Drosophila melanogaster: one gene and its partners. The protein of the gene in region 2 binds, or shares a complex with, the protein of the main gene of each other region. Each region holds a gene or a part of one and is shown on either strand. Other genes may lie near its edges. The genes, in order: E(bx), Caf1-55, mip120 and Nurf-38.

Region 1 (6,398 bases), on a different chromosome or scaffold from region 2:
AATGTTATTATTTCGAGCAGCCAGCTAACGACCATTATTATTCCAAGTAAGCTGACACATTTAGCGCTAACGACAAAAATTAAAATAAATGCATGTGTTTGGACTGCAATAATTCTGCACTCACTCTTTTTTAACATCTTCATATTTTTGTTGGTCAAACAAGCATTTTCGCTCCTGAATGTTTTTTTCAGCCTTGGCGTAGCCGCTTATACGTTGAAATCCGAAGAACGATATGATGTTAAGCTAAGAATGTACAATTGCATAAAACAAAAAACAGGTACGAAAAGAAGTGCTTACCAAAAAACTTAGAAAAAGTATAGTAGACACTGGAGGAATAAAGTAACGTTGGGAATCTCGGATGGATTCAGTTAGGCCTTTAAATAATACATATGTTACTACTTATACTTTTAACTATTAAAGTCAATAACTTGCCTTGCAGAAAGTAAGACGGCATTCCTGGGAGTCCTTTTTGAACAGTTAGTGCAACTATTGTGGCCGGTCCGGAAAAGGCAAAAACAGCGTAACACGCAAAATTAAAGGTGGCCCAACTCTTTGAGCATTGAATGCAGCAAGGCAACTTGTACCACACATTCAAAAGAACATTGAAGCATATGCACAAGTACCAGAAGAAGTAACTTAAAATACAAAACTGTATGACGTAGCCAATGAACCCTTGGTTCGGGATCCCATAGATGTGCACAACGGAGTGCACAAAGTATCCAGACGCCAAGCACAGAGACATCAAACTTAGCGAGAGACCATGCAAGTTACGCAATAAACGAAGTGTCATGTGCAAATAACTAACTAATAGCAGGCAGGGCATAGATATAAGCATAAGAACGGCAACAAAAACGACCTGAAATAATATTCATCCGTTGGTAAATAGAAAATAATGTTACATTGACTTACTTTTGCGAAGGCAATTTGTTCTTCCACTTGGGTTACACATGTAAAGGCAAACAAGTGTCCTGACTTATCAATATCCAAGCAATAATGTTCCTTCACAGTGTATGATTCGTTGCCAAATTTGTCGATGATTAATAACGAACCGTCTTGCAGAACAAAGAAAACATCGTCTTTGTCGTCGTACAAAAGAGAACTAATTTTGCAGAAGAATTTGTACTTTGATTCAATTTAACATTCGCTTTCATACCTGTTGCACGGATTTCCAATGTCGTAGTCGAGCGTAGTCTCAACCTCCAAATCTTCAATGCAGTTATCGAACAGAACTGCACTTATTATAGTCGGTTCGAAGCTTAAGAGCCCGTTGTCGCACATCGAATCGCTTTGATTTTCCCGATATATATTTAAGTTTTCTCCATGTGGGCAGCATTTTCTTAAACGAGACGATGGTGTTGCAACTGGTTGCTTTCTGTACTTTTCCCGTTGAGAACAGTCCGCCGGATCTAACGGGTTGTCTACAGGACTTTGAACAGGAACAGAGGTTGCGAACCTAGCACCTGATATTGTTGCAGCTTCTGTCGAATATGTTTGAGGTACAACCAGTGTTGAATGTATTGAGGCGTCCAGAACGTCAATCGAAGTGCTATTGAATGTGTCTTCATGGAAAATACTAAGCAAAGCAAAATATATTATAGAAAATGCAAAGATTCCAAAATTAGTATTTTTCGAAAACAAATATTTTGAGTATTTCTTACTTTGAGTTGTTTGATCCCTTCGAACTGTTATTTACAGTGCTTATCTGTGCGGAGGCGTTAAAAAACGTTTGTAAACTGATTAGAGCTAGGAGAAAATTCCAGTGGCCTAGATTCATATTGCCTTTTCAACCAATCTACAAAAAATATATAGCATAAAATGAATAAAACAAAATTGCCGAGTTCGTTTACACAGAAAGTATGTAAACAAACCAAATTTTGACATTAGTTAGGTGGTGTGGGAACTGGTAAGATATGGGCTATCTTATCTGTGTAAGATACCAGTAGAGTGCGTTATCATAATATAACACATGACGTCAGACGAATGTGGTAGCACATTCCTTAGAATTGATCAATACTCGGAAAATTACACTCATCAACTTATACAAAACCGCGTTAAATGTCAATTTTTGCGCACTGATTATTTGATTAGATCATATTTTATTCAATTATTGTATTTTTAAAAATAAACTATTTATGGCAATTATTGTTTACGTACATGTCAAATAATTTATGCTTGCTATTTAAAATGCAACCACTGAGCTTGATTAATAAAGTAATACTAGCGAAAAAGAAGTTTTAATTCTGCAATGGAATCACTTTGTGCAGGCGATAAGATAACGATGTTTTCAGGGCTTCAAAGCAAATTGTTTACCCTAATTTCTTTAACAATAACACATTTCTCAACAAACACAATTAAAATACTTTAATTTAGTATTTTTAGAATAATTTTTTAAAAAATTTAAGTAATAATAATATAAAAACCTTTCCCAGTAAACAAAAAATCGTAACGGCAACTTATTATCGATAACATTTTTAATGGATTTTTCGTGGTCGGCAATTTACGAAATGAGATCACCAGGATTTAAAATGCGAAATTGGGTAGAATGTAATACACTAAAATAAATTTACAAAAAAATACATTTTTTTTACCGCATCAAAAATACCGTTTTAATTTTTAAGATAGTGAGCAAAGGTAAGTTTATTTTGATTACAAGTTAACGGGTTTTCTTTAAACGCCCGCTCAACACGTCGATAAAAATAAAAATACATCTGTCAGTGCGGTTCAGCGTAAATGCCAAAAGCAACCCTGCCTATATCGTTTGTGCAACCATAAAGAATTAGTTCTCCAAGCCGACCGCAAGAGGACGCTTCTGACTTCACGCAATAGAAGAGTCGCTGTGATTGGCCGACTGTACACCGTCTTTAGCTATGTTCAAAACTGTAATGTTAGGTAAAAGTCTCTTTCGCAGTGTGCTGAAGATAGTTAAAAATATTAGAATATATCGTGTTAAATCCTGTGCAATTATTCCGCAACATGCTGGGTAATTTGCGCAGTTAATCCATGTGTTAATTGTGAAAGAAGAGTGACATTTAAACAGACGCAAAAATTTTCACGGTTGCTTAAATGGCGGACAATGTGCGTTGGCTTCATTTCATCGCACTCGCACACATACAATCGAACTTGGTGGTGCTGTCCAGTGCGTTTGCCGTCCAACACTAGAAGCCAAGAATGTGTTTTGAATACATGTACTTAATGTATTTAATCGGAACCGTTATTCTGAACTAAACAAGCTCTTTTGGCGGGTTTTTTTCAACTCCAAATTTGCGCAATACAAAGAAAGTGAACACCCAACGACAAACTTTTGACGATCTGATCGATTTTTCCCCCACATACGCTGTTGAGTAAATGTGTGTTTGAATGTGCCCCGTAAATACATAGCTAGCTGAGTGCGAGTGAGATGCGGTGTGCGTTCCTGTGGCACCGTGTACTAATGGGTTAATTTTCGTTTCAGATCTAATGTGCAGCCTCGCAGCATTAACTTGGAACAATATCTGAGGAGAGTACCCCCACGCACCCCTGCACACAGCCAGATAAATACGCAAGGCGAAAACAAACAAGATGAGCGGTCGCGGCAGCCGTAAACGTGGACGTCCGCCAAAGACGCCCAACGAACGCGCATCAGGACGCTTCAATTACCAGCTTCTCAAGAAGCCGAAGTATCTCAGCGAGGGAAAGTCGCAGCCCAGCACTCCGTCGGCATCCAGGGGCATTTCTCCACAGAGCGACGAGGGCAGCAGGAGCAGCCACAACAACCACACCAATCGCAGTCGCGGGAGCGCCGCTAAGAGGGGACGAGGCCGCAAATCCGCCGTGCAACCGAACACCAGTAGCTACTCTGGAAGGAAAGGTGGGTTAAAGGGGCACCTAAACTCTAACTTGGGAGTCAAGACTTACAGTTTCGCTCTGACTAGTTCGAAGATTAATAGGGAACATAATGTGCCATATATTGATTGCAGTGGAGAAAACTTTGATCGTTTTGAATGGTACTCATACTTCAAACGAGTTTTCCTGTGCGTTAAAGAGCTTCCGCTTCATAAAAGATCAAATTTAATATTTTCGTGACAACCACTACCGGGCGAGTCAGTTTCGATAGGTCTATCTGCTCTAATACCAACGATTATTTTTGAAATCTTACGACAAAAAATCTTTCAGTCTAGTTGGCATGAGTTTAATAACAATTACTTAAATACAATTCAGTAGAAATTGGGTCCACAATAGCAGTGACAGTATGTCAGGTTTTATGCACTTAGGTGTTGGTGAAATCATATTGGTTCTAAGAGCTACTGTTCCTCTTTTCAGGGTACGAGTCGGAGTATCACTACGGGTCAGATTTTGGGGATTCCGAAGAAGATAAATCCGATAATGAGGATGATATGCTGCTTACTCCCAGCGACGACGAGAGCCTAGAAGTAGCCAACGAGAGCGAATCAGAGTTTTCCGTGTGCAGCTTTAACCAAAATGGAGTTGGTCGGCCGCCACGTCCTCCTAGCCCAGAACCTGTGTGGCTGCAGGAAGGTCGTCAGTATGCAGCGCTTGATTTGCCGGACTCGTCGGAGGATCTTTTCATTGCTAATACACACGTTTTGCGCGCGCTAAGTATCTATGAAGTACTGCGACGATTTCGCCACATGGTCCGCCTTTCACCATTCCGATTTGAAGACTTGTGTGCAGCGCTGGCTTGTGAGGAGCAAAGTGCATTATTGACGGAGGTACACATAATGCTGCTTAAAGCGATTCTTCGAGAAGAGGACGCGCAGGGTACACATTTTGGCCCGCTGGATCAAAAAGATACGGTTAATATAAGTCTTTACCTGATTGACTCTATAACGTGGCCGGAAGTTTTGCGAAGCTATGTAGAAAGCGATAAGACATTTGATCGCAACGTGTTTCACATTTTAAGCCACACTGAATACCCTTACACGGGCATTGACAACCGGCTTGAAGTGCTCCAGTTTCTGTCAGATCAATTTTTAACTTCCAATTCTATACGAGATGTAATGCTGCAGGAGGGACCTATTCATTATGATGACCATTGCCGAGTGTGCCATCGGCTCGGTGATTTATTATGTTGCGAGACGTGCCCTGCTGTCTATCATTTGGAATGTGTAGACCCGCCAATGAATGACGTACCTACTGAGGATTGGCAGTGCGGGCTTTGCCGCTCGCATAAGGTAAGTGGCGTAGTGGACTGCGTGTTGCCACAAGAAAAACAAGGCGTGCTAATCCGGCATGATAGCCTCGGTGTTGATCGTCATGGGCGCAAATATTGGTTTATTGCACGTCGCATTTTTATCGAGGATCAGGAGAACTTTACATGCTGGTATTACAGTACGACAAGTAAGTTAAAATTGCTGCTCAGTCGACTGGACGCCGAAGAACTGGAAACTCGTCTGCATAGCCAGATTACAGAAAGGAGAGACGAAATCGAGCGCCAAATGAAACTGACTGAGACCTTAACCAATGAACACAAACACACGAAGCGTAGTGTTATCGAAATCGAACAAGAGGCTAAAAATGAACTTTTGGAGAAAGAGGTGCTTGACGAGGATGAAAAAGATGGTGATGCTAAATCTGAGAGTCAATCTATAGAGGGAACAAAAAAACAAGAAGAATGTAAAATGGTCACGCGTCAAAAATCCAATCAGCTGACTAATGGTACTTTGCATTTTAAACTTGGCATGGAGCAAGGATTTAAGAACTATGTCAACCAGTATTCAACAAATCCAATTGCACTCAACAAGCCGCAACGAAACGAGGAGCGAGATAAGCGACGCCATCTGTCCCATAAGTTCTCGTTAACGACGGCTTCTGACTTTAAATGGATCGGTATAACCATGGGAACTACTGACAATATGATAACAACTCTAAGGCAAACATTGATAAACTTCGAATCCAATATAGCAGCTTCCTTTTTAAATATTAACTGGGTAGTTAACAAAAAAATTTGGAATGCTGCGGTGATGAACGCCCGTCGACCTTCTGAATTTGCGGTAGTATTGTTACTTTTTCAAGCGTCCCTTAAGAGCGTTGTTTTTGCCAACGTCTGGCATGAGCAACTCGGACACACAACTTTGCAACGCATAACTAGTGCCGAACGAGAGGAGCGAAAAAAACTAGAAAAGCGAGAGAAGCGCGAGCGGGATGATGAGGAAGAACGTAATCGCTTAGCATTTAACTACATAAAGTATACCCTGGGTCTCAAACATCAAGTCTGGAAGCAAAAAGGAGAAGAATACCGGGTCCACGGGCAATGGGGCTGGCTTTGGCTCTCAAGCAGTCGACGCTGTGGTGTTCGTGCACGTCGAGCCCAACCTCTAACACACAATAGAGTCTACGTACATTACACCATGGGAGAGGAAAACGACGTAAATGAAATTATTTTAGTCGACCCACGCACC
Region 2 (5,583 bases):
GAGCTTTGACTCCGCCCAGTTCCTACCGCAGATGTTGTACTCATCCTTGATGCCCAGCAGATAGCCGAGAACGCGCCACATATGCGTAGTGGCCTCCAGGAAGTCCTGATCTTTCAGCTTTATGCGATGTGCGCCCATCGTTATGAAGCCAATGAAACCGAACTGCGTGAGCGCCAAATCCTTCTGGGTGATCTGTCCAGCTCCTTGGCGGGCGCACGCATGACTGGAGCGGCTGTGGGCCCGCCTCACGGCCGCAATGCTGGTCCAGAACCTGCTGCCACGGTCCGCGATGTTGTGGTTATACCAGGCTTGCGTGTGGAATATAGTACGCACATAGCGACGGTAGGCGGTGAACGCTGTCGAGGATTGGCGTGTGCACGACAGCACCCGGAGAATGGATGGAATAGCCAGCACGGCAATAAGACCAGCCAGCATTCCGGCGTTCATTACAAAGCGATACGTGCTAAAGTAGCTCTGACCACTGCAAGGAAAAGGAATAAAGAATCAATTAAGTAATTCGAATGCAGTTATATTATTTAAATTAAAATATACATATACATACATGTACATATACATATATATTGTTAAAAGTAAATGTATGTCGCCTTTTGTTATTAATATGTAAGCCCGTAGGTACAAAATTGGAATAATGAGCACAGATAAAGATAAGTATTATATGCTGCCTTTTCGCATTATTATTCACATAGCAAACTGCTACATAACTCCAAGCTTATAAATAACCCATGTGTATATGGATATTGTAATTATCACAATTATTTCTACTGTGGTTACTGGGCTAATATGCAATCAGTGAACAATTAGTCACGCAACTTACCGCCTGAATAGCTGCTCATCGTACCACGAAGGTAGCTCCAAATCAGCACCGCTGTCGCCCTCCTGACTGCCCTCCTTCATTAGGTGCTCCAAGTAGTCCTCGGGCTCCTGGTGATCCTGAAGCAGTTTTGAAGCCCCCGCTGCATTATGACCATCTTTGGAATGCGATGACGACTGCATTTTCCCACTGATCCCTGGAAAGTGACGTGCGATGTAGAAAACGAGCTTGAGGTCCAAATTCGGATTACACAAGTGAAAGAAAGAAAAGACAAACAAAATCGTCGGCGCGCCAAGAGAGAAAGTTTTTCATTCAACCCGCCAACAAGTCCACTGTGCACTTACACGTTTCACGCTTCGCGGGATGGGGGATCTCGGATGAGCTGCTGGTACAACCATCAACCTGCATGTCGGCCAAATTATTGCTTGTTAAACTATTTAGCAAACTCAATAGTTCAGCTCGTTACGTGCAAAAACATTTTGCATACACAATTGGAAAAAAAGCGTTGAGGATGAATCACGGCTGCCCACCGTCGTTGCGGTTGGGGAACTTAACTGCAACTGGCACGTTAGGCTCGTCAAATAAGAATGGAAAGCCGGTCATTGGCGCGTAAACTGGTTTCGAATCATTCGCACTGATAACGAATTAAGTAGTAAACTTTGTTTATGCACTTTAGTGTGCCCGCAACTGCAACCGTTAAAATATACCTTTTAAAACCCCAAATATATCGATGTAAACCACAAAATACTAAAATCATGACGCAGGAACGTAACAAGTATAAAAATACCGCGCAGTGTCATCTCCATAACTCTGTTATCGTTATCGTAATCGAATATGGCAGTCGTCTCGACAATCTTTAGCATTGCATCTCTATCATCGACGACGCGCTTGCAAAAAAACGAAGGAAATTAGCCAATTTCTATTTTGCCCTGACGTTACGCCGTTTAAAGTGTAAGTTCCCGGCCAGGATTCGACTCAATCCCTGCCACAACGACTTTCGGTCAAGTGTTCGTTGCGAGAGCTTTAACTACGTAGCGAACTTTCGTAGTTTTTCTGCACACGTTTTGCCGCTTCGGCTTTTGTTTTGGCGCCCGATTTTTTCGGCTGCCGACTTTTGACGCAGACTGAGAAATTGCGTGCCTAAAAGCCTCGAAATGGTGGATCGCAGCGATAATGGTAAGTCCGGTTAGAAGTTAATCGCCGCAATGTGTAACCATCGACCTTTAGCAGCGGAATCCTTCGACGACGCCGTCGAGGAGCGCGTGATCAATGAGGAGTATAAGATTTGGAAAAAGAACACGCCGTTCCTGTACGATCTGGTCATGACGCATGCCCTGGAATGGCCCTCGTTGACTGCCCAGTGGCTGCCGGACGTGACCAAGCAGGATGGCAAGGACTACTCGGTACATCGTCTTATACTGGGCACACACACATCTGACGAGCAGAACCATCTACTCATCGCCAGCGTTCAGTTGCCCAGCGAGGATGCCCAGTTCGATGGTTCGCACTACGATAACGAGAAGGGCGAGTTTGGAGGCTTTGGATCGGTGTGCGGCAAAATCGAAATCGAGATTAAGATCAACCACGAGGGCGAAGTGAACAGGGCCCGCTACATGCCCCAGAACGCCTGTGTAATCGCCACCAAGACGCCGTCGAGTGATGTCCTGGTCTTCGACTACACGAAGCATCCCAGCAAGCCGGAACCGTCTGGCGAGTGCCAGCCTGACCTGCGGCTGCGCGGTCATCAAAAGGAAGGCTACGGACTCTCTTGGAATCCCAACCTCAATGGTAAGTGCGTAGCTGTACCTAGTACTTATATATTAGCTCAGATAAGAGCTTGACACATCTAAAATGCATTACGTTTTAACCCTTAATGAACATCTTGATTGTCCTTACAGGCTATTTGCTGTCAGCCTCTGATGATCACACCATCTGCTTGTGGGACATCAATGCCACACCCAAGGAGCATAGGGTTATTGATGCCAAGAACATCTTCACCGGCCACACCGCCGTTGTTGAGGACGTGGCTTGGCATCTGCTACATGAGTCTCTGTTCGGATCGGTGGCTGACGACCAGAAGCTGATGATCTGGGACACGCGCAACAACAACACCTCGAAGCCCTCGCATACAGTGGACGCTCACACAGCGGAAGTCAATTGCTTGAGCTTTAATCCCTACTCGGAGTTCATTCTGGCCACGGGCTCCGCTGACAAGACTGTAGCTCTATGGGATCTGCGCAACCTCAAGCTAAAACTACATTCCTTCGAGTCGCACAAGGACGAGATCTTCCAAGTGCAGTGGTCGCCGCATAACGAGACTATTCTCGCCTCCTCCGGCACTGACCGCCGCCTACACGTCTGGGATTTGTCCAAAATCGGCGAGGAGCAGAGTACGGAGGATGCTGAGGACGGACCACCCGAGCTGCTCTTCATCCATGGCGGTCACACTGCCAAGATTAGCGATTTCTCGTGGAACCCCAATGAGCCATGGATCATTTGCTCCGTGTCCGAGGACAATATTATGCAGGTCTGGCAGATGGCCGAGAATGTTTACAACGACGAGGAGCCAGAGATTCCCGCCTCCGAGTTAGAAACCAATACCGCTTAAAGCATCTGTTCCGCCTCCTATAATACACACCAAACTACAACTGAATCCGATAATGTTTTGGCCGTGCCCCGTGTCCAGCTATCCAGCCTAAATGGCAATGGGTACTCATTTTAATTTATATATATTTACATATTTTTAAAAACAAAATTTAATTAAGCTCTCATTTGTCAGCAGATTGTACAATCTATGAATTTTTAATTAAAAATGATTAAAAAGTCAAGAAATGAGGTTAATTTTTTTGAAATTAAATACCAACTTAGATCTTCAAGCGTATTTTATTTAATTCTATTCAAAAAGAAGCACATTAAACCACATTGTATTTGTGTTTCTTGCCAAAGACTTCTATGTCCACACTAAGTCCTCTGACATCCTCTTTATGTCTTCTTGACGTGATTTTCCCACAAATGACGTCTCCTTCCTTCACAACCTGCGGGTTCTCGATGAAGAAAACCGTTTGCTTCCAATGGGTGGGCGTCGCAGATGGTGATGTGCTGAACATGACGGGGGAGGGTAGTTCAAACAATGTTTCAAAGTAACCGACAAAGGCGGATAATCGTCCCGGCTTCGTGACCTTTAAGCTAAACTGGTGAGTAAAGTTTGGATAGTTCATATCGACGGTCATTATGTCGAAGTTAGCTATCTGTTCGGGTTCCGTCAGCATGAACTCTGCATCCACCACCTGCATGAGTGGCTCCTCTATTGATTGCTTTCGCAGATCGCTCATGTCGACCTCGTAAACGTTAGACCAGAATTCCACTTCATCGGCATAAAGCGTGTCGTCTCCATAGCCCAAGAGACTGAGTGTACAGCGACTGGGCAGTATTATGCCATTGGGGTTGAGGTGATTCTCGCGGGCGTAGATAATGCTGTCCAGCATTGATTCGTACAAAAGAAAATAGCCCATCCATTCGGATATTATAATGTCGTATTTAGTCTCTGGGAGATCTGTGTCCTCCAGCCGTCCCTTGATCAGTTCAACATTCTCAACCTTGTTCTTCCTGATGATATCCATGGCGGTGTACACAATGTCCGAGTTATCTATGCCGACAACGCGAGCTGCACCCGCTTTGGAGGCGAAGATGGATAGGATTCCCGTGCCGCATCCCACATCCAACACTGTCTTGCCCCGAACAACGGCCTCGTTTTGGAGCAAAGACGCGCGATAGGTGCTGGTCCGCACCTTGTCGCTGAGCATTTCATGGTGAATGCCAAAGTGGGCGTAGCTTTTGAAGTATTCGTTGTCGAGACAAACGTTGTTACGCGGTACGCTCTGGTCGGAACCTTTGGGCTCGCCGTCAGCATGTACCTTTTGCAGCAGCGCCTTGTAGTCGTTGCGCATGCGTTCCATGTCCTCGTTGGCCTGCTGCAGCAATTGCGACTGCTCAGCAATCCGCTGTTGTAGCTCCAGAACCGAGGGCTGCGTCGGAGCGCCGTCTGTTTTAAGGACTTCGTAGTCATAGCAGAGCCAGGGCTCATACTCCCCGGGCTGGAGGTACTTCTCATCCTGCCAAAGCGGATGTTCCGCAGACAATAACTGCTCGGCACTGATCTTTTTGGCTCTTATGTAGTTTATCAGTTTGATAAAGGAATACTGGTCCATTTCGAATTTACGCTGAAGCTGGGACAGATTCACTTTATGCCGGGCGTCAAGATGGTCAATGGCCACCGAGATGTTTGCAGATGTTTCGGTGCAAAACAGACAAGTGGTTAGCTCATCGCCTTCGTCCATTGGCTCATCATCGTCATCTATGTCATCGTACTCATCTTCGTCGGAGCTGGAATTGGCCGGCACCTCAGGTGCCTCCTTCACGGGCTCCTCCTCTGTGGTGTTGTCTACATTGGGATGGGATTAATAAGTAATCATCTCCAGGAAATAAAAGCTTTTACGGGCTCGAACCGTTGACCTCGGTGTCTTTCATGCTATCTTTGTTTGCAAGTCCTATTGGCCTGCTTTCAGAGAAAAGAATTCAAATCGCACGACGAAGATCACAAATTTATAAATGCCAACTAAATGGGGTTTTGAGCGGCGCGAACACGTGCGGAAATTTGGAAACGAAAATAGCTTAACGCGTTTTGGTATACTTGAAATGTTGCTTTAGAGGGTATCGCAGGGGATATATGTTATAGAATAACTTTCGACGAC
Region 3 (6,991 bases), on a different chromosome or scaffold from region 2:
CAAGTTGTTAAAGTTAAATAAAGTATATATATATATAATCATTGAATCTTGTAAAATTGTTGCCCACATTAGCACACACACAAGTTATCTGACAAAAAAAGGGAATATTTGATAGGCTTTTGGTGCCAAATGGTACGTGGAATATAAACACCATTCCATAGAATCTAAAAATATATACAGGGTCTATAAGCGTTCACAATTTTGAATAGAAGTCTTAAGTTGTATTTTAGTTTGCAATTATCTAGTGAGGAATAAAGTCGCTAAATTGGGTGTTCTACAAAATTTAGACTAGTACCCACTGATTATAACTTCAATTCTTCCCACCCAAAGTTTCGGATCTTAGCCCATAAATATTACCGACATTATTTCGTCACTTAACCAGATCGTATTGGATCGTAAGGATATTGCCGCAAGGCACTTGAATGGCTGCAAGTGTCCTTAAGCGTTGTGATCACCACGTAAAATCCTCTTTAAAACTAATGCTCCTCTTCATTTGGGCAATGAAAATCATTATTTTGAACGCATATAGTCCCAGCAATTCTAATCGAAAGTAGTGTAAAGTAAACTATAGCTCTGTAATGGTCGAAAAAGTTTAAAGAAAGCCGACAAAATGTAGTTAATCGCAGGTATACAATGAGGTTATATTGACAAACTGTATATACGAATAGCTGAAATACTTGCTGATTATCATCGTTGTTCTATTGTTGTGAAAGATGAATTACTCAACTAATATCCATAAATTCTACGCTGTGTTCGTTATGACTTTTCACGCTTTGAAGAATTGCCGAATTCAATCATGCAACACGCGTTTAACAATTAAGGTACTCTTCAATGATTGCATATACAATATTACGACAACCTAAGAAAAAGACATTGTACAGGGTATGCAAATCCAACGTACATATACGATATTTAGCAAATGGTTTTGTTCGGTTTTCATAAAGTTGTTGTGTAAGTTTATGCTTTAGCTCCCCTTCTGGGGGCCCAGCATTCAATATAAACGTGTGAATTAGACAATATAGCTTCTAACTGAATAGTTCAGCATACTCTCAATACAAATACATATATATTATGCGTAATCAAATCGTTATTGTTGCCTAACTATGTTCAAATGTTGCATAAGTGTTACGTAACTAACAATTCACAAGAAAAAAAAGCTGGTATGGGGTCAAACAAACAAACAATGCTAATGCAACTAACCAAAGCGTTTTGTGCACAGTATTCAAATATTCAAAACTATCCTTAAATCGATATACTCAACGTTTACTGTATGTATTTGCTATTTAAGATAATCGCACACACATACTCTCTCTTCGAAAAAGTTCGTATTCGAATGACCGCAAATAAAACGTATAGTTTAGCGCGAGCATATTAGTCAAAACAGTGTATGAAAAATATGTATAACAGGGCATATATATATATATATATATTAGCATTACTAACCACGTATATGTACTATAGTCCTTAAACGATTATCACATTTTTACTCAAACCTTGAAACTACATACATACACACATATGTACTCATGTCATGCCATGCCATGTTTATAGGGTGAGAACCGGGAGAAACCAGAACACAAACATACTTATATGCTATTTATACATACCAATGGTGACCAAGTAGAATATATAACTATACTTAAACAAAAAAAACTACATATATACAAAACTAAATACCTACTATCAATACAATCAACTAATATATGCATTACCTATACTGTAGTCATTCGACATGTGTTTATTTTATAGAGATATTGCTAACTAAGCTGATACCGATATTGTGAAAAACCAAACTAAATTGCGTTGAGTTTAATATACTCGCCCATCAATAAATTTGAAACAATGCAAATGCAAAATACAAATATGTAACTGAAGTTGTTGGTGAATAAACAAGCTACAAAACAACACAACGTCTCTTTTCATTTGTGTTCAATGGTCATTAAACTTTATTAGGTATCTAAATTATTTACATTCAATCCAAGGGAAAAGTTTACAACACAATTACAATGCTCGGCCAAAAATTAAAATAGCCTTATATCTGAAATTTGCTATGTATGATATATACATTTTGTGTTTAAATTATTTAAATAGGGTAAACACTTTACTTTAAGGTCAACTTTTAGAAAGCCAAAATTAGAATATGATTGAGAAAAGGTCAAGAACTCTTTGAACTTATAAACTAATTAATGTGTGACTATATTTGCATGCCTAAGAAGAAGGCTTGGACTCGTCTATCTGAGAGGTTTCTTGCTTTTCCTTGGCAAAAGCGATGATCTGTGTCAGACTTTCGCCCATTTCCTCCATAACCTCGCGCTCCATGTCCTCCACGGCCACATTCTGTTTCTCGTGCATCACAATCCGCGATATCATGCACATGATGGTCGCCTCAATGACATCGTCCGTAAAATATATATTTGCGCGATTCTCGTTCAATTGCTTGTTTTTAGCTTTGTCCTTTTTCTGACCCTCGACACCCATCAATCCGTCCAGAGAGTCCATGTCCACGTCCGGACGGTCTTCCATGTTTCGACACCCTAAATAATAAGTTGATTGATTCAGTTAGTTTGATCATAGATAAAACAGATTTATCAGTTCACTTACCAACGCATTTACATATGCTGGAGCAGGGAATCTTTGCCTCATAGCACTCACAATAGTTCTTGAGGCAGCCCGATCTTTTGCAGTTGCAACCTTTGTTATGCAGACGCATATCACCTGAATTGGGTGCCGTAATTTTGGGTCTGTTTAAAAAAAAAAAAAGTAGTTGTGATTAGCATCTTTAGAAACATAGGATAGACCTCATAAGCTTTTCCTTTCAAATAAACTTACTTAAAGGCGCTGGGGTTACGATCGAGGCAGCTGCGAATAGCACGCTCCCGCTCCACTTCGTAGTCCAGATTGTTAAAGCAATCCTTGCAGGTGCAGTCCTGACAAAACTCGCCGTTTGCAAAGCAATCGCAGTAAAGCTTTAGACACTGCGACTTGCTGCAGTTGCAGTGCTTTCGCCGCGAAGTCATGCCGCCCAATGGATCGACGGCTCCGGCTGCTGCCGCGGTTGCTGGAGGTTTTAGGACTTCAAAGAGCGGCTTGGCAGGTACATTGGCCTTCACCCCCGGAGGCAGTGTCGGCAACTTTGGCTCGACCTTGATCGGCGTCGATTGTTCGGTAGGCAGTTGCTGCTGTCTAATCCGTTGCTTGGCCTGCGCTTGAAGTTGCTGGTGCTTGGACTGCTGCTGGGGACCCATCTGCTTAAAGCGGTGCTGTTGCGGGGAAATGGGTGGCGGGCGTCGCGTCTTGTTTTCCACATATCCAGTGTATCCCCGTCGCATGGCACTCGTCGATGATTGGGGCACACCCGAGTTACAGATCATGTACTTGGCCCCATTGCTTCCAGTCGGTTGAACATAGTTGTAGATTTTCTTTGTGGAGTTGGAACTGGGACTTGTACTGCTAGACACCACACGCTGTACATTCGCTGTCCGATTAATTAGTTTCTGAACTGGCTGGGAAGCTGCCTTCTGTGATCCTTGCTGCATGGTAATAACGTAACGCGGCTTTTTGGCCTCAGGACCCGCATCGCTGCTGTCGCTAGCTTCACTGCTGACCGAGGCCGATTGCTTTAGCTGCACATTGAGATCAGTAAGACGGTGTTTGCGTGGCAACTCCTGGCTGGCACTCGGCGTGGCGCTGCTGCTCGCCGCACTGGCTGGTTTTGAAGCGTTGGAGATGGCGCCCAGCGCACGCTTTAAAGATGGAAATTGAGTTAGAATGAAATAAATTTGTACCAACACAAGTACCAACCTTTGAGACCAACGTCTGCACGGAAGGCAGCGGCACAATGCTGCCACCCATTGATCGCATTACAATCTTGTTAGTGTTGCCCATGGCAAGGTTTGCCTTCGATGCGGCTGCAGGTGAAGCTGCTGCTGCGGATGTTGTAGTAGATGTGGCAGGAACACCAGTAGCAGCCGGTGGCCGCACCACAGTGATCTTCTGAGTTTGCACTGTTTTCGGGATTGAGGCTGTTGCACTTGTTCCGGCGGCACTCTTATTGTTGTTCAGGACACGTACATATTGTATTCCTCCCTTGCCAGGCAGCTGAATAGCGTGCAATCCGCTCGAGGTGGAAGGTGTCTGTCCGCCCGTCGTGTGGGTTGTCGAACTGGTGGCACTCGCATTCGGCGACAGCTTAATGATGTTCTTGTTGGATACAAGAATCTGTTTGCCGCCACTTTGAACCAACATCTTGCCCGGTGTTGCGGATGCACTGGCAACGGAGCCCGTCGCCGTTTTTACAGGAGTTTCTGTTCTCACCACTACCTGGCCAACGGGCTTGTTGAGCACCACATTTCCCGTGGAGGGAGATAGTTTGACAGAAGTGGCGGCAGAACCTCCTGGTGTGACTGTGGTCCCAGTTCCCTGTTTGGCGTTCACCAGCAGTGAGGGACCAGCCTGATTGATCTTGATAATTTTGCCATCGGCAGTGCGCACCACCTGAATTTTGTTGGGCTGTGCCAAAGATGGGGATGTGGTTGCCGTCGTGCTGGAAGTCGACGCCTTCGCAGTGCCTCCGGCCAGCGGTTGGATGCCCTTTAAGGTTATGGCTGAGCCGGGTACCGAGGTGCTTGCTTTGGCAGGAACAGCCGCCTTGACCAGACCCGTGCTTGCCATGGTCACGCCCTTAGAAAGCACTGCCTTCTGGATACCAGAAGGCGCCACGAGGCGTCTTATTCCACCGCTTGGTGACCCTGTCACCGCAGTGCTGCTTTGTGTTCCAGGAACAGACTTCTGGACAAAGATGACTTGGCCATCTTTCGTCCTAATCTGGGTCAAGTTGCCCAAAGTCTTGGTTATGCTGCCCGGTGTGGATTTGGTCGCTATGGTCGTGCTACCGATCTTTAGCGTACTGCTGGGTATTGGTTTCAATTTGTTTAGTATCTTTACGTCTGTAACTTGCGCCTTGGCCGGAGGAGTACCTCCGGCAGTCACCATCTTAATGGCGTGCGACTTCAAAACGGTTAGTCCGGACGAGTTTAACCTCTTGTCCTCCAGTATGTGGACCACGTTCTTCTTAAACTGCGGCGTGTTCAGGGAATCGTTGGCCGGATCGGCCAGATCTTCACCGCCGATATTGTCTTCCTCTGAGTCCAGAGCTTCGATTTCCATGTGCTGGGAACTCTTCTCCGACGTTGGCTCCAAAAAGTCTTCAAAACTCAGCTCCGGCAATGGTTCCGTGTCGTCTAGGGAATCTGCGGACAAAATAAGTTATTAATTACTTTGCAAACAAACGTTTACGGTGCTTGAATCTACCGGTCAAGTAGTCTACGCGGTAGGTACTCATTTTTGCCAATTTTCAAATCAATTTCAAAATGTTCTTTATCATCAGCTGCGTTCAAGGCGGTTGCAGCAGTGTTGTAAAATGTCGTAGTCAGGTTATTATCGGCCTTGTTTGATTTTATCGGCTCCATTTCGATACCACTCTATTTCGGATGCCGTTAACATAGAGCGATAAGCAATCGATGAGTGGCGCCTAAATTAAATATTGCCCTTTATCAATGATCAATGCTTACTTACATAACTTTATATAACAAATAGTCCTTTGAAATGCCGAAATGTCAGGCAACAACAGTAATACTTAAAAGCCGTACTATTTTAAATCAATTTTAAGATCCCTACTAATATTCCAAGTTTTAAAACTTCGTTGTCCATAGGTGTTTGTTTATATTTTACTCGATTGTGATTGGAGCGCCAACAACTTATACAATATGCATAAAAATCGCTTAAGAATATGATTTTAGTTAATGACTGACGGCGTTCCGGGGATCTACTTCTTAGCCGCCACCTTCTTCTCGCGCGCCTTCTTGCCCTCCGTCAACTCGGATCGCTGCGATTCAGTCAATGGGGGCAGAGTGCTGGTGACGACACCAGTGCCCAGGGTCAGGTTTCCGTCACGCAGCGTGAAGCGTTGTCCCTGCTCCAGGACCATTGGCCGGATGAGGCGCAGAATGAGCTTGGTGTCTTCGCCGGGCATGACCATCTCCTTATCGGGAATCTGCACCTGCACGGCACAGTCCCAGGTGCGGGAGAACATCTGCAGTTGGATGAAGGACATGAAGGGCTTTGTGCGACCGCCTTCATCCTTGGACAGGATGTACACCTGGGCCTCCAGCTGATCGAGTGCCTTCACACTGCCCGGCTTGCACATGACCATGCCGCGCTTGATGTCATCTCGCTTAACGCCGCGCACCAGAGCTCCCAGCTGATCACCGGCTTGCGCCTCCTCCAGAATCTGGTGGAACATCTCCACGCCCGTCACCGTCGACTTCAGCACCTTGTTATAGCCCACGAACTCGCACTCCATGCCCTTCTTGACCACTCCGCGCTCCAGGCGACCAGTGACGACGGTGCCGCGTCCGGGAATCGAATACACATTCTCAACAGGCAGCAGGAAGGGCTTGTCCAGCTCGCGCACAGGCGTGGGGATGAAGCTATCCACCTCCTGGAGCAGTTTCAGGATCGCCTCCTTGCCGATCTCGGGACTCTTGTCCTCGAGGGCGCACAGCGCCGAGCCCTTTACCACAGGGATCTTGTCACCATCATAGCCCATCTCGGTAAGCAGCTCTCGGATCTCCATCTCCACCAGGTCGACCATCTCCTCATCGGCGGCGTCCACCTTGTTGATGAACACCACGATGTGATCAATGCCGATCTGCTTGGCTAGCAGCATATGCTCGCGAGTTTGGGGCATGGCGCCATCGGTGGCGGCCACAACGAGAATGGCGCCATCCATCTGGGCTGTGCCGGTGATCATGTTCTTAATATAATCGGCATGTCCCGGACAATCTGTGTGGCCGTAGTGACGCGTCTCCGTCTGGTACTCCACGTGGGCTACATTGATGGTAATACCACGAGCCTTCTCCTCGGGCGCATTGTCGATTTCATTGTACTTCTTGCTCTCGGCCAGCTGCTTGTCGGCCAGGACCTTGGTAAT
Region 4 (5,635 bases), on a different chromosome or scaffold from region 2:
ATCGGCTAGAGACCGATGCTTAGCGGAGATGTTCGCCATCGGCACTGGCGATCCGCTAGGCAGCATATCCTCCTCCAGGTTGCGCAGATTCTTCTTGTTCCCCTTACCCGGTAATGCAGGAAAGTCTACCTGCGGCGTGGCTGCCTTTTTGGGCACGGCTGCTGATCGATTTGACACATGCAGGAGCATTCCGTTACCGGGAGGCCCACTTCGACTGCCAGAACCTGCCGCGCTTGTGGGTTTCTTAAAGACAGCTGCCACGGGGTGCTGCGATTGAGCAGCCCGGGCGGCAATGCTGCTGCTAGTGGGCCCAGTAACACCACCTCCATTTCCTCCTCCCAGAGCCGGGAAGTTTTCTTTGGTCCGAGCAAGACCAGAAGTTCCACTAAGATTGCGCATCGAGGGCGGTGGCGGTCTCACCAAGGATACGCTGGGAGCTGTGGAAGCGCCTCTCAATGTGGGAAACTGTTCCTCGTTGCCAGCATCAATGCTCACATGGCGCTGGGTGATCGAAGGCAAATCGTTCTGGTAGTCGTTGTGCTCGTCATTCCTGTAAGGTTTACCATTCTAAGAGTGCCTTCTTCAAATTGGATGGCCGCTCACTCACCTGGTTCTCACGCTGGTTATGCCCTGCTCCGTCTGCCCACTACGGCCACGAGGCCCCAAAGTGATCTCCACCTGCAAGGTGCGCGTCTGCTTGGCCTGCTGCTTGTTGAGCGACTTGCCGTGCACGTTGGCCACGTGCGCCTTGTACTCGATTTCGTTGCGGAATGCGCCGACAAACTGCTCGGTGGCGCACTTACCCTCCTCGCAGAGAAAGTGCTCCGCCCGGAAATGTTCCGCCAGATCCGCATAGTCATTGTAGAACTCATTGCAACCATCGGCGTCGCAAAAGTGGCAGAAGTAGTGCTCGCGGCGCAAATGACGGAACAACTCATCACGGTCCACATAGCGTTTATTGCAGTATTCGCACAACGGATGACCGCGATGCGACCGATTGTCCGGATCGCCCTTGGTGTTGTGTAGCTGCAGCTCCGCCTGAGTGTAGCACCTCCGTTCGAAGGTGAAGATATTGAGGGTCTCGACGCATAGGTCACAGTACAGAAGTTTATGCTCGCTGCGAACATGGTTGCGAAGGCCCTCGAACGTGCGGTATGGAGGTGCATCGCATCTGCAATTTAGCGTAGAAGGGTGAGCCTCAATGGTGCAACTCAAGTGCGGGCAGAATACTCACTTCGGGCAGGGATGGTCGAGCAATTTGAAGAATTGCTGTCTTATCTCTGCGGTGCAGAAGCCGATGCGGTACTTCTTGCTGTATAAATCAGAGCGGTTATTTGCCTCCAGTTCGCGATAGGGCAGCTTGTCCAGTGTGAACAAAACCTGCAAGTGTTTTAGAATTAGATAGAGATTCGGTTCTCTAGACAAGCGCAGGACTTACCTTGGACAGGACGTGGCGGCAGATGGGGCACTCGTTCTGCTGGCAGAGAACCCTCATCCGAGTGGAGCACTCGTAGCACACGGGATGATCACAGTCGCCGATGGAGAAAATTTCCACGTTTTTGAAGCACACCACGCAGGCGTTGTCGTCGTTGCCCGTATAGCTCTCCAAGGCCTCCGGCTTGACAGCAGCGTTATCAGTGGTGGTGTTGGCCACTCCGTCTTTGGGACGGCGGTGGAACGACGGCCTGGCCGAAGATCTCGGTTTTCCGTTCTGCATTTCACTAGAGATTTTGCAGTGAATGGAGGGGGGGAATTTACTTGTTGCCACGGGCACTTGAAAATGTACGTGTAACGACTGCTTTCGGATAAAAGCTGGGGTTTCTTGGATCCCCCGGTTTGTTTACTCTTTTGGAATATCTCGTCAGCAAAATAAAGGGGAATTTTTGCAACGCCAACTCGAAAGCAAGGCAACACGCACACACGACAGACGAAAAGAAAACTCAGAATTTAGAAAACTCGATTGCCAATGTTATCGATGACACTGCTCGGATCCCCGATAGCACCGATAGTTCCCAGTTGGAAGCTTTGTTAATGTTAAGTTAACATGACCAGAATTCGGACAATTTCGCAACGATCAGTAACCAGTACAAGTAAAACCTATTGACTTCGAATTTATAAAAAATTCAATCACTTATATGAAACTTTTAAAATATTTCTAAGTGCTTCTTCTGCAGGTATGAACATATTCAAAGCATATTTTGTTTAAGTTTTTACGATTTGACAAAAACTAAATAATCTTTAAGGTTTTGATAGTTGTCTTATTTATACTGTAAATAGATTTGTATAATAATTATAATTACAATATTGTATTTTATATTTAATAATAATAATTATAATGTTATAGTTTTCATATAATAATATTTATAATAATAGTTCTAATTGTATGAAAAAATGAAGTTCATTCTCCATTGGAATGGATGAAATGGAATCGAGCTATACATTTTCTGAGCAGCACTGTTAACTGTAAAATCGGGTCCTATCGCCCTATCGATAGACTCAACTCAGGGCTGAAGAAAATGTTGGCGAAAATTACAAGGAGTTCATTTTACGCTTCACGTGCGGTTGGTCGCTTGTCCGGCTCGATTCCAACGTCACCAGCGGCCCTTGCCAGCAATTGCAGATATATTCAGATAGAACGGAAGCGCACGAAATCACACGAGATGGCTCTGTACGAAACCGTTGAGAAGGGCGCTAAGAATTCGCCGAGCTACAGCCTGTATTTCAGTGAGTAGAGTAGCGCATTGGGGGCCAAATGTGAATGTGACCCGGCTTAACCCTTTGCTTGCGCATTTGCAAGTTACCCAAACTCGGTGCAGTTAATGCACCTAGAATTAGTTGATCGGTACCGGAATGGTTATGCAACAGGTCAAACCGGACTCTGCTTATTTAACTCGACGCATTATCAGCACTATCAGCCGATCCGATTTGTCTTGCGTCGGAAATGGCGGAAACACCAAGAGTTTCGGCCCCTTTGGGCTTATCTCTTTCCTTTATTAGCCCATATTCCGAATAGCAGATATCGAAACTGGTGGCTGAATTTCGGTTTACTGGCACGCAAATTAGTGACCTTTGTCTAGCCGACAGGTCCCCGGTCACTATTAATCAAATCGCGTGTCCAGGTGTCGCCCATATATCAGGCATAATAATTTCTGGCCATTCTCCACAGAAAACAAGTGCGGCAATGTCATCTCGCCGATGCACGACATTCCACTGTACGCCAACGAGGAGAAAACTATCTACAACATGGTGGTGGAGGTGCCACGTTGGACCAACGCGAAAATGGAGGTCGGTCTGCCTGTCCCTAAGATTCATACTTCTGAATAATACAAAAATTGCATGTCTGACCCTTAGATTAGCTTGAAGACCCCTATGAATCCCATCAAGCAGGACATCAAGAAGGGTAAGCTGCGGTTCGTGGCCAACTGCTTCCCGCACAAGGGCTACATCTGGAACTACGGAGCCCTGCCCCAGACCTGGGAAAACCCCGACCACATCGAGCCCTCCACCGGCTGCAAGGGTGACAACGATCCCATCGATGTCATCGAGATTGGCTACCGAGTGGCTAAGCGCGGCGACGTGCTGAAGGTCAAGGTGCTGGGCACCATTGCCTTGATTGACGAGGGCGAAACCGACTGGAAGATAATCGCCATCGATGTGAACGATCCGTTGGCCTCGAAAGTCAATGATATCGCCGATGTGGACCAGTACTTCCCGGGTCTGCTTCGTGCCACCGTTGAGTGGTTCAAGGTGGGTGGAATTCGATTTTCGGACGATTCCCTCTCTTACCCTTTGCATTTCGCAGATCTACAAGATCCCCGATGGCAAGCCTGAGAATCAGTTTGCTTTCAACGGCGATGCCAAGAATGCGGACTTTGCCAACACCATCATTGCCGAGACCCACAAGTTCTGGCAGAACTTGGTGCACCAGAGCCCCGCATCCGGGTCCATCTCCACGTGGGTTAAATGCCATTTTATACATTTACAATTAATCCTAAGTACGTCCGTTTCGCAGCACCAACATCACCAACCGCAACTCGGAGCACGTCATTCCCAAGGAGGAGGCCGAGAAGATACTGGCCGAGGCCCCCGATGGCGGCCAGGTCGAGGAGGTGTCTGATACAGGTAAGGTTCACTATATTAGATCGAACTTATAGCTGCTTCACCCGATCCCAACCAAAAACACACTACTCCAACACACGCTTTAACCACCAGTAACTTGCAAACAAATTGGTTACACAAACACAACCTGCACGCTTACTAATAGCTACTTTAATTGTCCAGTTAGCAAGCTAAATTGAGATTACTCCATGCTGTAAATACTGCTGAAACCCAATTTATGTAATTGGCTTGCTTGCGTTCGTTAATCGTTGTACATATACTTTATACTGAATGTTATCCTGAAATAAACCCTTTTTATACCAATTTACGTCCTTTGTAATTGCAGTCGACACTTGGCATTTCATTCATCTCAAGTGAGATGTTCTCCTGGGCTGATTCCATCACAAGATCCATGATCTATCTGTAGTCCAATCGAATCGAAAATGCTTGCACTTGTGAATTATTAATACTGAAATATTATCGTACGTTGAATAAAGTTTTGCACCGCAATCAAATTCGCTGTCGATTCCTCTTGAAATATACAATCTTTATTTATATTTTACGACTAGATCCAAACAAGTTTAAATTAATTAAAAGTTATGTAATTGTAAGGCATTGCAATACTACATAGAATCGAATCGAATTATGCCGTGTGGTGTTGCTCAGATGTGATTTCCGTTCTATTGCAGGAGAGCATGTGTGGGAAGGTGTGGAACGTAAAATTTATTGCCGTAACAAATTAACTTAAGCTTACGAAATAAAAGAAATGTACAAATCAGTTAGGCGTTATAAATATGTATAGAAATCTTTAAAAGAAGACAAAAATAGTTATATACATCAGACATTTTGATTCTTGTTCGTTTGTTCGTTCGTTTTTTTGTTTGCTTGTTTTTTTTTTGTTTGTTTCTTCTCATATTTGATTCTTGGCATAACTTTTTGCTTTCCTTCTGCGCGAAGAACTAAAAGAAATAAGCATAATTTACGTAATTCACTACAACTAAAAGCTCCACGAGACTGTTTCATGACAGATGATAGAAATAACATATAGACCAATTTAGACTTTCCGATATAAGTGCGGATAAGTAGCGTGTAATAGTTTAGTAATTGTCTTCATAATTTTTTTTTCAACATTTTTGCTCTGCTTTCTCTTGTAGCTAGATGTTAGCTTAGTTGTTTCTTCAAGTGGTACACATTCCTCGGGTCGATCGTTTCCTGGTTGCCATAGTTTCGTGCCGTGTTCTGCCACAGTTATCAATAATAATAGTTTTAGTTAATAGTTCATAGAATTAAGTAGCTGCTCGTGCCAGTGACGGTGCCAGAAAATCCCAGAGAATCGCACTTTACTTGCGACCCAGGGTATCGCGCCATTCGTTATACTTGTCCATCTCCTCGTGCAGCTGAAGAGCCTCTATGCAGGCGTTGAAGAAGGGCGATCCGAAGCATTCTTGCCTGTGTTCAAAAACAAAAGGAGGAGGAGGAATTAGGAAACCTGATTTTTTTTAATTTGGTGTATAGCTTGCTCAGAAGAAAAAAGAGC

The links.
Region 1: Caf1-55 (region 2) and E(bx) share a complex: the UniProt entries of both Drosophila melanogaster proteins name them as parts of the NURF complex.
Region 3: Caf1-55 (region 2) and mip120 share a complex: the UniProt entries of both Drosophila melanogaster proteins name them as parts of the DREAM complex.
Region 4: Caf1-55 (region 2) and Nurf-38 share a complex: the UniProt entries of both Drosophila melanogaster proteins name them as parts of the NURF complex.

Annotation. Positions count from the first base shown.
Region 1 is NT_037436.4:243,377-249,774, reverse strand, and holds the start of E(bx) (enhancer of bithorax), read left to right. Parts: upstream 1-2,862; 5' UTR 2,863-3,392; intron 3,393-3,451; 5' UTR 3,452-3,558; coding exon 3,559-3,847; intron 3,848-4,299; coding exon 4,300-6,398. Other genes in the region: mthl14 (methuselah-like 14), read right to left, coding at 1-66, 125-243, 298-374, 433-856, 910-1,099, 1,154-1,573, 1,659-1,774. UniProt on the Drosophila melanogaster protein: Histone-binding component of NURF (nucleosome remodeling factor), a complex which catalyzes ATP-dependent nucleosome sliding and facilitates transcription of chromatin.
Region 2 is NT_033777.3:15,223,907-15,229,489, forward strand, and holds Caf1-55 (chromatin assembly factor 1, p55 subunit), read left to right. Parts: upstream 1-1,669; 5' UTR 1,670-1,986; coding exon 1,987-2,008; intron 2,009-2,059; coding exon 2,060-2,620; intron 2,621-2,730; coding exon 2,731-3,440; 3' UTR 3,441-3,658; downstream 3,659-5,583. Other genes in the region: CG31344 (uncharacterized protein), read right to left, coding at 1-481, 836-1,028, 1,177-1,240; Art3 (arginine methyltransferase 3), read right to left, coding at 3,745-5,273, 5,338-5,359. UniProt on the Drosophila melanogaster protein: Core histone-binding subunit that may target chromatin assembly factors, chromatin remodeling factors and histone deacetylases to their histone substrates in a manner that is regulated by nucleosomal DNA.
Region 3 is NT_033778.4:13,508,047-13,515,037, reverse strand, and holds mip120 (Myb-interacting protein 120), read right to left. Parts: upstream 5,421-6,991; 5' UTR 5,342-5,420; coding exon 5,311-5,341; intron 5,250-5,310; coding exon 3,802-5,249; intron 3,744-3,801; coding exon 2,830-3,743; intron 2,742-2,829; coding exon 2,602-2,741; intron 2,535-2,601; coding exon 2,209-2,534; 3' UTR 1,926-2,208; downstream 1-1,925. Other genes in the region: mEFTu1 (mitochondrial translation elongation factor Tu 1), read right to left, coding at 5,825-6,991. UniProt on the Drosophila melanogaster protein: Component of the DREAM complex, a multiprotein complex that can both act as a transcription activator or repressor depending on the context. In follicle cells, the complex plays a central role in the site-specific DNA replication at the chorion loci.
Region 4 is NT_033778.4:24,557,942-24,563,576, reverse strand, and holds Nurf-38 (nucleosome remodeling factor - 38kD), read left to right. Parts: upstream 1-2,489; 5' UTR 2,490-2,516; coding exon 2,517-2,724; intron 2,725-3,166; coding exon 3,167-3,285; intron 3,286-3,351; coding exon 3,352-3,747; intron 3,748-3,802; coding exon 3,803-3,954; intron 3,955-4,012; coding exon 4,013-4,122; coding exon of another isoform or gene 4,123-4,154; exon of another isoform or gene 4,155-4,425; intron 4,426-4,444; coding exon 4,445-4,476; 3' UTR 4,477-4,610; downstream 4,611-5,635. Other genes in the region: CG11414 (uncharacterized protein), read right to left, coding at 1-550, 608-1,171, 1,235-1,380, 1,439-1,717. UniProt on the Drosophila melanogaster protein: Component of NURF (nucleosome remodeling factor), a complex which catalyzes ATP-dependent nucleosome sliding and facilitates transcription of chromatin.